Linked DNA regions of Arabidopsis thaliana. The protein of the gene in region 1 interacts with the protein of each later gene in a pairwise test. Each region holds a gene or a part of one and is shown in the gene's direction. Other genes may lie near its edges. The genes, in order: RAV2 and AT4G09100.

Region 1 (7,532 bases):
ATGTGTAAACATTACTTAGTGAGGTCATGGAAACTCGCTAACGAGTGGCTGCTGCAATTTACAAAAGTTTGATGTGTATAATATTTAATTAGTCGCACGCTAGTTAATATTTAAGTTTTCTTCTTTTCACTTTTGTATCCAATTATATAGTATGTAGGAGCCACAAAATTGAATCTATTAGTTAAATTAAGTTGGTTCTGGTGGTATAATCATTTAATTAAGTTAGTTCTGGTGGTCCAAAACTAGGCCACGAGTTTCATTATTCCACCAGAATTATATAATTTAGTTAGTCAAGTCTGATTAGCCGAAGATGGAAATACGAAAAAATGTCAATAATACATGAAGTCTTTGTCTTCTTACCAAAACTGTACGATCTCAACGATGGAAGATAAGAATCTAAAACCAACGAGTGAGATGGAATCGGAATATTACTAAAATTAGGATGAGATGAGGTTTGGGTCCATACTTAACAGTGACAAATGACAATGATGGAGCTGACTTTTTCGTTCTTAAAACGTATCACAAGTTTTCTCCTACTTTAAATTTCATCTCCAAATTGTTGACCAAACGACATCGTCTGTTGCGACACCTTACCCCGATGTTTTTTCCTACGTTGCATGGACCTTTTCTTATACTTTCAAATAATTATTTGTCTTTTTTTCTCAACATTTATATCCACATTTTAACGATTTTCTCAGGATATTTTCTATCAATATGCTTAATTTTCTTTCTTTTTTTGTTAAAGAAATTAATTCCCATAGTTAACATGAGAGGGTTTAGCAAAATATGCTTAATTTTCTTGTTCGCTGATGTTTTTATTTTTATTTATTATTACTGATTCAGCATTCAAACTTATCATGTGATTTGGATGGTTATTGAAGTTTCATATTAATTGATAAATTAAATGTGTTGGGATGATGAGAGGTGATATAGAAATACATATTGTAGTGTTTAAATAGATATGGATTCAAGTATATAATTAATTCTTCTTAATCAAATTAATTTGAGTTGGACTAGTAGTCTAGTAAGTAGTAAGAGAACATATTCGGATGGTATCTTAAATTTATGAAATACAGTGTGTTTTCAGTTTTTATTGGTAGCAACAAATTTATCGGTTCATACCTCAAAGATAGTATTATACGTGTCTACGATTATATAAAAAAATCAATACAAAATAATTGTTCATTCAAGAAACAATCGGACGATATGAACATTATAGTTACAAACTAGTAAAAAGCTATAAATATGTAAAGTGAAAACTATTTAAAAGGGTGAAAATTAAAACGTATCAACGTTGGAGTGTTTCAAAAATATTTGGTTGGATAAGCTCAAACTAGTCAAATTGTCTCCCCTCCCAAGCGGGAACATCACGCCATGTCCACAATAAATCCATTTTTCTTTCTCTCAAATATATATAGAGATACATACATCGATACTATTCTATATATTATGTAACAAATTAGAAATATCATATACCACATGGTAAGTTGTATAAAGAGAATTATTAGTGTTTGCTTATTGCAAAATTAATACAAAACATTTTCTATTGAAGAGCTACAAATTAAGAAGGAAACTGAAAAATATAATAAAAAGCAGAATATGTTACGATATTTGTATGAGTGTATGAGACAACAGTATCAGATAAGATCATAATCCTTGCGACCAACCTATCCAAAAGTCTCTTTTTTGTTTTCTAATCAATTTACAAAACATTTAACCAATAAAAATATAAAGATGGTGAAAAAAATATGGTCATACAACAATTGCTTCAAAGGGGGATGAACTAAAATATACCAAAAAAAGAAGTGAGGATAGGTTCATGTGAGCCCCCATCCCACTTGACCCTCTTGGTAGGTCCACATTTACCATGAACATGTAACCCATTGGTTATTCATTTGTATGTATTGTTTTTTGTCAATGACTTAATTTTATTTTATTTTCTTCTTCTCTGACTTTTTTTTGTTTATCTGACTCTTCTATGTATGTCAAAATGTAGCAAGATAATTGAACATATTTGGATTGTTGAAAAACATATCGATATTTAGTGAATTAGTTTCTCCTCCAAGCATCTAGAATGTCATAACTGTGTTGAATTGTACATAAAATTTGATATGGATTGATCATTGATAATAAATCAATGAATTAATGATCTATTAGAATATGAACTTTTCATTCAAATTTAATTGATAATAAGTGGATTTGTCTATATGTAATATTTTAGTCAAAAAAATTGTTTCTTTTCAATGCGATATTATTATCCTTAAAACGTTTTCTCGAGATAATTTTTTTCCGAGCCATTAATTTTAGTATGTTCAGATATAGATCGACAGAAAAACTATAATTACGTCGGACCAATTGTAGATTGGATTGAATACATATGGATCAGATTCTAATACCATATTAGAATATGAGGTATCTAATTCAAAACCAACTATTAATAAATAGATTGACTCATATATGTCTTATATACTAGTCAAGATTTCTTTGTCTTTTCTAATGTGGGATATTATTATCCCTAATATCATGAATAAAATCAAGAGTTAATGTTTAACTATATCTAATCTATACTACCCATCTTTTTTCGGAAACTATATATAAGTTATAAAACCAAGAAATTCTCGTTATCCAATAAAAATAATAATTTTGACTATGGTTATATATCAGTTTCAACAACTTATATGATGATTGATGAGAACCTTATTTTATGAAAGTACGTGGTAATGTGTTGTAAGAAAATGTTCTTACGCCGTTGAAATATTTTTCCAAAAAATGTACATAACAAACGTACGATATGTATGTAAAAGCCGTGGTACTACATTTATTTTTGTCTGCCCTTCTCGGAAACTTCCTTCAAAGTTATTTTTGCCGTTCTTGAAAGCGTTGACCCTACCTTTCCATTTTTAAAATGTTCTCTCATTTTGACCCATTTTTTTCCATAAACCAATCAAATTTTAACTTTCAAAAACATAAAACTAATTAGATATAAAATAATAACATGTACATGCACTTGCCTCGTCCATTCCTCACATCATCATATGTCTTTGTATATATATAGATGAACCAAAGAAATGAAAAAGTAACAACGTCACCTAAATCTCTCTCACCCAATTTGTGTTTCTTCTTTCTGCTAAAAGGTTATAATTTTTGTTTCTTGGTTTGGTGAGAATCTTCAAGAAACTGAAACAAAGAAAATGGATTCTAGTTGCATAGACGAGATAAGTTCCTCCACTTCAGAATCTTTCTCCGCCACCACCGCCAAGAAGCTCTCTCCTCCTCCCGCGGCGGCGTTACGCCTCTACCGGATGGGAAGCGGCGGGAGCAGCGTCGTGTTGGATCCCGAGAACGGCCTAGAGACGGAGTCACGAAAGCTACCATCTTCAAAATACAAAGGTGTTGTTCCTCAGCCTAACGGAAGATGGGGAGCTCAGATCTACGAGAAGCACCAACGAGTATGGCTCGGGACTTTCAACGAGCAAGAAGAAGCTGCTCGTTCCTACGACATCGCAGCTTGTAGATTCCGTGGCCGCGACGCCGTCGTCAACTTCAAGAACGTTCTGGAAGACGGCGATTTAGCTTTTCTTGAAGCTCACTCAAAGGCCGAGATCGTCGACATGTTGAGAAAACACACTTACGCCGACGAGCTTGAACAGAACAATAAACGGCAGTTGTTTCTCTCCGTCGACGCTAACGGAAAACGTAACGGATCGAGTACTACTCAAAACGACAAAGTTTTAAAGACGCGTGAAGTTCTTTTCGAGAAGGCTGTTACACCTAGCGACGTTGGGAAGCTAAACCGTCTCGTGATACCTAAACAACACGCCGAGAAACACTTTCCGTTACCGTCACCGTCACCGGCAGTGACTAAAGGAGTTTTGATCAACTTCGAAGACGTTAACGGTAAAGTGTGGAGGTTCCGTTACTCATACTGGAACAGTAGTCAAAGTTACGTGTTGACCAAGGGATGGAGTCGATTCGTCAAGGAGAAGAATCTTCGAGCCGGTGATGTTGTTACTTTCGAGAGATCGACCGGACTAGAGCGGCAGTTATATATTGATTGGAAAGTTCGGTCTGGTCCGAGAGAAAACCCGGTTCAGGTGGTGGTTCGGCTTTTCGGAGTTGATATCTTTAATGTGACCACCGTGAAGCCAAACGACGTCGTGGCCGTTTGCGGTGGAAAGAGATCTCGAGATGTTGATGATATGTTTGCGTTACGGTGTTCCAAGAAGCAGGCGATAATCAATGCTTTGTGACATATTTCCTTTTCCGATTTTATGCTTTCGTTTTTTAATTTTTTTTTTTTGTCAAGTTGTGTAGGTTGTGATTCATGCTAGGTTGTATTTAGGAAAAGAGATAAGACCAAAAAATAAATTGGAACAATGGTTTTGTGGAAAAGTGGTAAATAGACCTACCTCATAGTAAAACGTTACCGGATACAACCTAAATGTTTATCCGTTCCTAAAACTAGATGAATCAAATTAATTAACTATCTAAAATTGCATGATAAATCGGAAAAAGAGGATGAATTCTTGGCAATTTCATCCATTACCGTACAAGGACTTATTTCTCTTACTTGGCAACTAAAGGATGCTCATAGGTGTCTTAATGATCTCACATAGCAAGTTAGCAACCTTTTACTCTCTTTTTTTCCAAGATTACTCTACTCTAGGTGTTGCTTCTGTAATTCCTTTATTTTCATTTCTAATGATATTTACAAGTTTTGCAAAAAAAAAAAAAAAAAAAAGTTAGCAACCTTGGAGTCTCGACCAATCTTGAGGGGAGGATATGGCATGAATGATGTAATTGTAGAGTCATTCTCGAAATTCACCACTTCATAGCCCACATTGTCAAGGCACCATTCAAGCTTACAAATTAGCAGTAGTCTGCCTCTTATCGTCTCGAAGTTTTCTGGTATTGGTATAAGCTAGGTTTCGTTCCCCAAAGGTCGAACCATTAATAAATGACTGAAATCTTTTAACCTCAAAACAGAAATATGTAAACTGAACGAAATCCAAAATATAGTAATGTGTTCCCGAACAGATTCAAGCGACTTATAGTGCTTCTGGCAAACCTCACACGACTAGGCTGGTGAACGGAATGGTACGTAACCATTGCTAGAGGTTGTATGGCTTCAGTTTGTTCAGTTCAAGTACAAGAATCTTGGGGATTTTTGTGAACATTGCGGTATGATTAGCCATCGGAAGTGTGAAAAAGTCGCAAAACAGAGATGTTTGACCCGCGCGGGTTTAAAACGATACGATTCTCAACGGGTTGGTAAGGGTTTATCCGTGAAGTCTCACTACTCCCAGTCGTATGTTGACATGGGTTTACTGTTCGAGGAGACACTTACTTACGCTCAGTTCATGGTAGAGGTTAGGGTTGATGTTGTTTACGCAAGCGAGCATGAGTGGGGCGGCAAGAAACTGATTCGTTCCTTGTTGGTAAGTAAGTATGATTATTGCTTCGGGTTTCCTTGTTTCCCGACACGATTCATTAATGATGTTTTACCATTTGAAGAGATAAGATCTCACATCTGGCGAGGTTGACGACCGAGGACAAGGCCAGCATCGTCCGTGGACTAGCAGATCACTTAATGAAGCAGAGGAGGACTTGGTCAAAGCAGAGATGGGTTCCTCTGTTGTTCATGTCGAGAAAAAAGGAATGGTACTGATAAATTTGATGAGGGTAAGAACACAAAGGTGTTTAGGAAAAATTATAATAGACTCTGATATGAATAATTGTACAAGATACATTCTCTTATATAGAGATGAAAGCGTCGATTATCTAGTGAGGGTTATTAGAGGTGTGATGAATGAGTTCGGTTTTACTCACTTCCCGGATTCTTATATTAATCGTTTGGTGACATGGGTGAAAAACTCCAACTACTTTTCACCAAATTTTCCAAAAGATTGCATCCTGATAACAAATGTGTGGCAGTGCTTGGCCCTGACATGGATTTGTTTGGCACATGTTGTATATGTCAAGAAGATTTCTTTCTTGGGATGGAAGCAACCGTTACTTCTTCTTGTTCTCATGTTTTCCATACTTTCTGCATTGAAGACTGGATGCAACAATCTCAAAATTGTCCACTTTGTCGTATCCTGCTTCCAGTATCAAGTAGGTGAGATCGAGTCTTGACGTCTTTAGCCTGTTTCCATGCTAAATTCTTAGAAACTCTATCTTTTACATGAGCAGAATTTTGCTTTGCTTGTCTCTTTATCAACCTTAAATTTCATTATACATTTTTTGAAAAGAATTATTTCTTCTTTCGAACTTACAATATTGGAGTTTGAGTTTTTGCATATATAGTGCAATTATTTTATTGATTTTGTTGCATGCACAACCATAAATATAAAGTCAAACCAAAAAAACAACTACAGACTCAGATCAATTGAAAATCATTAGAATAAGGTTTTAAACATTCAAGAACCCTATAGTTTTAAAAATGTAGAAATAAATAAGGGAAAGAATAACATCAAATTAAATTTTTTCTTTCTTATATAAATAAAGATCAGAAATAGATTATTTTCTCCATTTTTTAGTTTCGTTGTTGATGAATCATGTATTCACAAATCTGCAATTTCTTCTAACTTCTCCATCAGCCAAGCTTTCAGAGTTCAAAATGTTCCCCATCTTTACCATCGACTTCGAGAATTGCTCGAAGAAAGCCACTGGATCCTCCGCATACTTGCTCACGATTCGCCGCGTTTGTATCCCGAACAAGCTCGTGTACATCTCCTGGTCCGAATTCAGTAACCCTTCTCCTCTTAGCAGTGTGTGGTAGATCGAGTTATCGAAGAGATTCGGCGTCACATTGTCTATCGCCGTCACGTTACTATCACCTTCTCCGCTACTCGCCGGACAAATCTCTCGAAGACTTGCCAAGTACGTCTCCGAAACTGGATTTAGGGCTGACGTCACTTGAAAATCTCCATAAATTCGGGATCGGAAGTTGCGACATTGTGCTTTTCCGATCGTGTGCGCTCCTAGGAGATAGATTATTGGTCAAGTTAGGGTTTTAGTAATCCGGTTTACGACATTTTATATCATATTATATTCAATCATATGGTTTTAACTTCTATTACAAGGAATTTCGGTTTAGTTTGGTTAAGAGGATTGATCTTACCTATAAGAGCGACCATGTCTTCAACCGAGAGACCTTGAGAATAGAACTTAGCAATGATGCTGATTAAACCCTCTTCTGGAGTTGGAAGGTTTGTTGTGGCAAGCTCGTAGCTTGCGGTTTTTGAATCTTTTCTTCCCACAGGAACATCCCAGTAAGGCCCACCCACCTTCAAACACAAACACAAAATCAAAATTTTATTTCATTTCATAATTCATACGATACTTACAATATACAGTATTTATATTGAGATTTGAGAGAGTATATGTTTCGTTTGTGTATATCTTACCAGGATTGTAGCATCTCTAGCACCAATTGTGAGAAGATCAGCGCATGAAACAACTCCAGGACATTCGGATTCGATTATGTTCTTGATTCTGTCGACAATTTTGTATCCTTTCAATGAATTTAT
Region 2 (6,424 bases), on another chromosome or scaffold:
TTTATTTTTTGGGATTTTGAAGTGCAATTTGGATATGTCTCGTTTTTCATGTCTTATGTATACAATCAAATTAATTACGAATTGTATTCATCAATGGATGATTGTATTCACTAATGAATGATTGTAATCACCTATCATTTATTATGCATATTAGTTATTAAAACCAAATATATATTTTTAAGACACTACACACATTTATCAAAACTTGGATCCGTAAAAACAAATGTGAATGTAATCACATATCATTTATTGTGCATATCAGATATTGAAACCAAATATATATATTTTTAAGACACATACACACATTTACCAAAACTGAGATCGGTAACAGCAAATGTGCCAGTATTTTTGAAGCTACATGCCTTTTTGGTACGACCATGACTCTGATAATAAGCATTCATCACAAATGATGCATGATTTACAAGACTATTAGGGATATAACAGGATCCGCCTGGTTGAATTGGCCCACAATCAACTCCTTCACTACATCCAAAATTAATATTTCCTTGTAGTTGCGCATTCGTTGCGTTCATCTTTGCTACACACCATTTTGTGGAACTCGCCACATGGAGGTGGTTGATCATTATGGAAGATAGAATGATGAAAAGAAGTGCCAAAAGTGATGATATTTTGGCCATTTTTTTTAAATGACAATTCAATTGAGATTCAAGTAATTTTGTTTTTGGATGTCTATGTGAGTAAATGTATATGTGTCTTTATATATTACTAGATAGTATTTAGAAGATAGTTTATATGTTTTTATATACATAGATGTCTATAAAAAAAAGTTTAACCATATAAGAAGTCAAAGATTTTAAAAAACTTATGAAAATGAAAATATACATATATTATTAGAAATATATCTTTATAATTTGAAATGATATCTAAAACTTTTAACCACTAGATAGTAGAAAATCAAAGATATAAAAATATTTTGGAAGAAAGAAATATATCTTTATAATTAGAAATATATCTTTATAATTTGAAATGTATGATTATAGAAACAAAAAGATAACTTTATAACTTTGAAATTATATGTCTATGAAAAAGGTTCTATATATTAGAAAACCAAAGATTTAAAGATATTTAAGAAAATAGAAATATATGAGTAACATCTCAAATCCAAAGCTTGGTCAATGAGAGAGAGAGCGCTACTAAATCGTCAAAAGAGAATAAAGCTAGGAAAAATATATAAAGTTGGTTTGGGGGTTTGTCACGAATGAAAATAGAAAATTAAAAATGTAAACAAGAGAAAGAAACGCAAGAAAAAGTCAATAAAATGATTGTTGGGAATTCATGGATTTTGCAGGGGTATTGATGATCATTTCATTCAAAGAAATCTAAGATATGTAATAATTTATTCTATGTTCACAAACTAGAAACACAAATGAATAAAAGAGCTACCATTTGCAGAATCAATTATGTAAGGTCTAGATACACCATTACTCAACAAATCGCTGGACGACACATCTAGTCATGCGTTATAAGCAAGTAAATTCACATATACACTAAAACTAATGGGTATGTATTAGGGATATTGTCTCACATCAGAAGATGAGTATGATTAGTGGTATATATAAAATATGAGTCTCTCCACTCATTGCTAATTGGTTTTAAGTTGGAAATCCACAGTCTAATATGGTATTGGAGCCCGATCCGCACATACTCAACCCAATTCACATCGGCCCATCCCAATACTTGGCCCACCAATCCATGCCCGAGCTTATCAAGATTGATGGCTAGATTTTCGAAGAGTCCTATTAAGGATATTGTCCCACATCGGAAGTTGAGTAGGATGTTAAGTGGTATATATAGTATATGGGTCTCTCCATTCATTGTCAATTGGTTTTGAGTTGGAAGCCCACAGTCTAATAGTATATGCTTATTAAGAGATCTAACTCATCCAAGTCTAGGTTCAAGCAAGTAAACTACACGGTTGGCGATTCTACTTCCTTGGAATAACCAATCAATTCTTGATGTCAACCATATGCATTAAGATTAAGTATAAACGAAGAACAATGTAAAACAAAACAACCCTAGAAATCGCCACTCAAACTAACTGATCATGAAGTTCTCTTTGAATAACCCTTTATAACCAACTAATTTAAAGGAATCAACAAAACAAGGTATATATATATATATATATATATATATATTAAGATTCAGTGAGTATACTTGTTTTTATGATCGAGCTTTTGTGGAATAAGGATATGTAAATGTGGTCAGTTCAGAAGTGACTTACTTATTTTCTTAAAAAGATAAAATTTTCACAAATAGCATCATTTCAAGTTTTTTGGACAAAAATATCACTCAAATAAATATTTTATTTTTAATTATTAAAATTTATAAATAAGAAAATTCAAAAAATAAATAAATTTCAGACAATATTTCCCCCCAAAAATTTCCATCAAAATTATTTCCACCAAAAACTTTTATAAACAAATTTTCCCGAAAAAAAAAAAAGAAATTCACGAAAGATTTTATAAAATTCATGAAGGATTTAAGAAATTCATGAAGGGTTTCAAGAAATTCAGAATTAAACTTTTTTTTTTTTGTAACCCTTCCTTAATTTCATGATAATTTTTCATGAATTTTGTAAAATCTTTTCTGAATTTTGTGGAAACTTTCAAGGAAATTTAGGAAGACTTCTACAAAACTAAGGAAGGGTTTCACGAAAGATTTTTTTTTGTGAAATCCTTCTTGAATTTTGTAAAATCTTTCTTGAATTTCGTGAAATTTTTTCCAGTTTTCGTAGAATCCTTCCTAAATTTTCTTATGTGGAAAAAATTTGACGGAATGTTTTGACAAAAATTGTTTTTGGCGGGAAAGTTTTTACGGAATTTTTTTTGGCGGGAAAATTTGACAAAAAAAAATTCACGGAAAAATTTGAAAGATTTTTTTTTCACGGAAAACTTTGACTGATAATTTTTTTAATTAGGTGCTATTTTAGGAAGAAAATGTTTTGAGTGCTATTTGTAGATATTTTCAAATGAGGTGCTATTTTTGGAAGAAAATGTTTTGAGTGCTATTTGTAGATATTTTCAAATGAGGTGCTATTTTTGGAAGAAATTTTGTGTGCTAATTGTGTCAATCTTTTTTTTTTTGTTAACCGATATTAATTAGAGCTCAACAAAGTCAATTCACGTAAAATGTTGTTTACATATGTGATATATTGTGGTTCAATATAATTTTTTTTGTGCAAAATTATCCGTATTTATATTTGCACTATGAAATATTAAAGGTAAATAAAAACTTATGAATTCTTCTTTATTAATTCCTTCAAATATACTGAGAATAATAATTCTTGTAAACTAGAGAAATTTTAACATTAACCTATTTTTCTATTTTCTTTGGGAGTTTCCTATTAAGGTAACTTTAAGAATAGAAACTAGTTATGTATTTAAAACGATACAAACTAGGATATCTAAATTGTATTAAAAAGATTGTACATTCAAAATTTGTATACGAGATCTTCAAATTTTGTATATAAACATCGAATTATATAAAATATTTTTAATAACTAAAAAAAAATATTTGTATCTTTGGCGGTCAACTAAACCTTTTTTTATAGCATATATATATGATATATAAAGTTTCTTTATGATATAATTATCTATCTAACATTTAAGATTGTATTAAAGTTTCGAATTTTATGTCTACGTAATTTTGTTTCCTTTCATTTTATACACAATGTTGTATTGTTTGTACATGAATTCTTTTCAAAATAATTTTTTAGATATCATTCATATAAAATAGAGCTAATGAGATAATAAATTACCTTGAAGGCTTGAACATTGTCGAGACAAAAGTTGAAAACAGAAGGACAAAAGATCACTGTCAAATAATTATTAATACATCAGAAAAATAATTAAAAACGATAATATTGTTTTCAGTATTCACCTACACATAATATGAATATCATGTTTACATATTTCGACCTTTTTTGATCGGTTCTAATAATCTATATCTCAAAACTAACCAATCTCATCTAGATTCCGTCAAATTAAGTTTAGTCTATAATTACGAAACTAAAAAATATTAGCAAATGGGAAAGTGCTAGAGTCATTGCACTAGTTTATTATGTGAAACACGAAGAAACACGGTGGCGCGTAGAAATCACCTAGAAACTACGAAGAAGACGTGAACCCCACGTCTCTCTTTCTTCTTCTTCTTTCTCTATCTCTTCCCATTACAAAACTCAAGAAGATGTTAAAGTACGAAACATGTCATACTTCAAAAGAAACGAAGGAACAATTGTGTTTGCGTTTGCGAGCATCGGGTTCATAGCGTTTTATATCATTAATTACTACATTCGGCGATGCAGAAACCGTGCCGCAGCAGCCGGGGACATTGAGGAAGCTCGAATGAGTCCGAGGAGGCCACCGCGAGGACTTGACGCTGAAGCCATCAAGTCGTTTCCTTCATTCGTTTACACGGAAGCTAGAGGAATTGAGCCAGGAATAGGCGAGCTAGAATGTGTTGTGTGTTTGAATGAATTCAAAGACGATGAAACGCTGCGTTTGGTACCACCTTGTGTACATGTGTTTCATGCTGACTGTGTAGACATCTGGCTTTCTCATAGCTCCACATGTCCTATCTGTCGTGCTAAAGTAGTTCCTTAATACGAGTCTCTTAATTAGCCTTTTACTATGCATTTTGCGTTACATAGTTCTCCCTTTGTAAATAAATTATCTTTATAGTGTTGATATTTTACCAACCGTAATGATGATACTACTCCATGGAAGGAAATAATCTACAAAGGAATTGAGGCATATTGAATTATTCAATGTCATGATGATGATGATGAATTAGACTAGAAAATGACAAAAACATAGTTTATCTCTTTGGTTACTTGTTCATGTATTACACACTAAACACATCTATTTGGCTTTGGAGAGGGACCACCTATCATGCTGTGTACAACAAATATGTATATATGTAAGTTACAAGTTAATGAAACGTTCGGATATATAGTTATATACCATACTTTGAAGGCTTTAATTAGTTACTCATATGATGTAAACATTTGTTATGGTGCGAATAATCTAGCACCAAATACATAAACCTTATTGGTCCGTCACATTCCATTGAGAGGACGTGAACATCAGAGGGATGTGACTGACCAATAAGGATTAGGTCAAAACTGTTGGAAAAGTCTTGTTGCGTAGATCAACAAGTTAATAGAGAGGGCATGAGTAATGTAGTACTTGTTCTACGTCTATAGTGACGTAAAGACTTCTTCAAAAGTCAAAACGTTAGAGGAAGAAGCCAAATCAATCATTCCGACCAAAACTAATCTAACTAAACATAGTAGTAATACAATATGTATTGTCGTGACGAGTACAAACCAAAATGTGTTTAGTATTATAAAAACGGCTTGTTCGTATTCTCTTCTCTCGCTCAACACATGAAGCTCAAGTGATCCACCGTGGTTAGCAAAAGGACGGTTCACATCATGACTATATTCGCGAGAGATCTCATCTATAGGATCGAAACGAAGGTTTTGTTGCCGCTCTTCCTTGTCCATTTGTTACCTTATGTAACATGCCAGCAAGAGTCAGAATCCGTAGACCGCAATAGAAAAACCAATTTCCCAACGGAAACGGTAATCGCAATCATTGTGCTTGCAATATTTATCTCATTAAGCATGGTCGCTTGTTTCTTGCACAAAACATTCTATAGAGCAGAGGTTGAGGCGGCAAGCCAAGAAGTGTTTCACAGTAGAGCGAGGCGTGGGCTCGAGAAGGAACTCGTTGAGTCCTTTCCAATTTTCCTCTATTCGGAGGTTAAAGGGCTCAAGATAGGCAAAGGCGGAGTAGAATGTGCAATTTGTCTAAGCGAGTTTGTGGATAAAGAAACACTACGTTGGATGCCTCCTTGTAGCCACACTTTCCATGCTAATTGCATTGATGTGTGGCTCTCTTCTCAGTCCACATGTCCGGCTTGTCGTGCAAATCTGTCTCTCAAACCCGGTGAGAGTTATCCATATCCGATCACGGATCTTGAAACGGGAAATGAACAAAGAGATGAACATTCATTGCTTCAACTAGGTACGAATCTAGATCGATTCACACTTCAGTTACCAGAGGAGATGCAAAGACAATTGGTTAGCTTGAATCTGATAAGGACAAGCAACATGACCTTACCTCGAGCCATGAGTTCGAGACAGGGCTACAGAAGCGGTTTCTCTCATGGACGACAAACACTTCGGCGGGCCATATCTATGTCTCTAAGTTTCTCTTTACAAGCTGCTTCTGTTCGTTCCACAGTTGGCAGAGACGATCTAGTGCTAGAGACTTCCCAAGCTAAGGACAAAGATTTATGTGAACAGTCGTTCCAACACCTCATGCCAGAGAAGGTCTAATCTTCTCTCTTATCGCTCCACGTGTCCTATATGTGGTGCTGATGTAGTTCCTTAATCGTG

What was found.
Region 2: the proteins of RAV2 (region 1) and AT4G09100 interact in a two-hybrid assay, tested with the Arabidopsis thaliana proteins (one large-scale study listed by BioGRID).

What each region holds. Positions count from the first base shown.
Region 1 is NC_003070.9:25,877,251-25,884,782, forward strand, and holds RAV2 (uncharacterized protein), read left to right. Parts: upstream 1-3,072; 5' UTR 3,073-3,191; coding exon 3,192-4,250; 3' UTR 4,251-4,300; exon of another isoform or gene 4,301-4,705; intron 4,706-4,715; 3' UTR 4,716-4,972; downstream 4,973-7,532. Other genes in the region: AT1G68845 (uncharacterized protein), read left to right, coding at 5,184-5,446, 5,515-5,668; AT1G68850 (Peroxidase superfamily protein), read right to left, coding at 6,556-6,983, 7,124-7,289, 7,410-7,532.
Region 2 is NC_003075.7:5,807,033-5,813,456, forward strand, and holds AT4G09100 (RING/U-box superfamily protein), read left to right. Parts: upstream 1-4,082; 5' UTR 4,083-4,223; coding exon 4,224-4,622; 3' UTR 4,623-4,814; downstream 4,815-6,424. Other genes in the region: AT4G09090 (Carbohydrate-binding X8 domain superfamily protein), read right to left, coding at 288-638; AT4G09110 (RING/U-box superfamily protein), read left to right, coding at 5,456-6,364.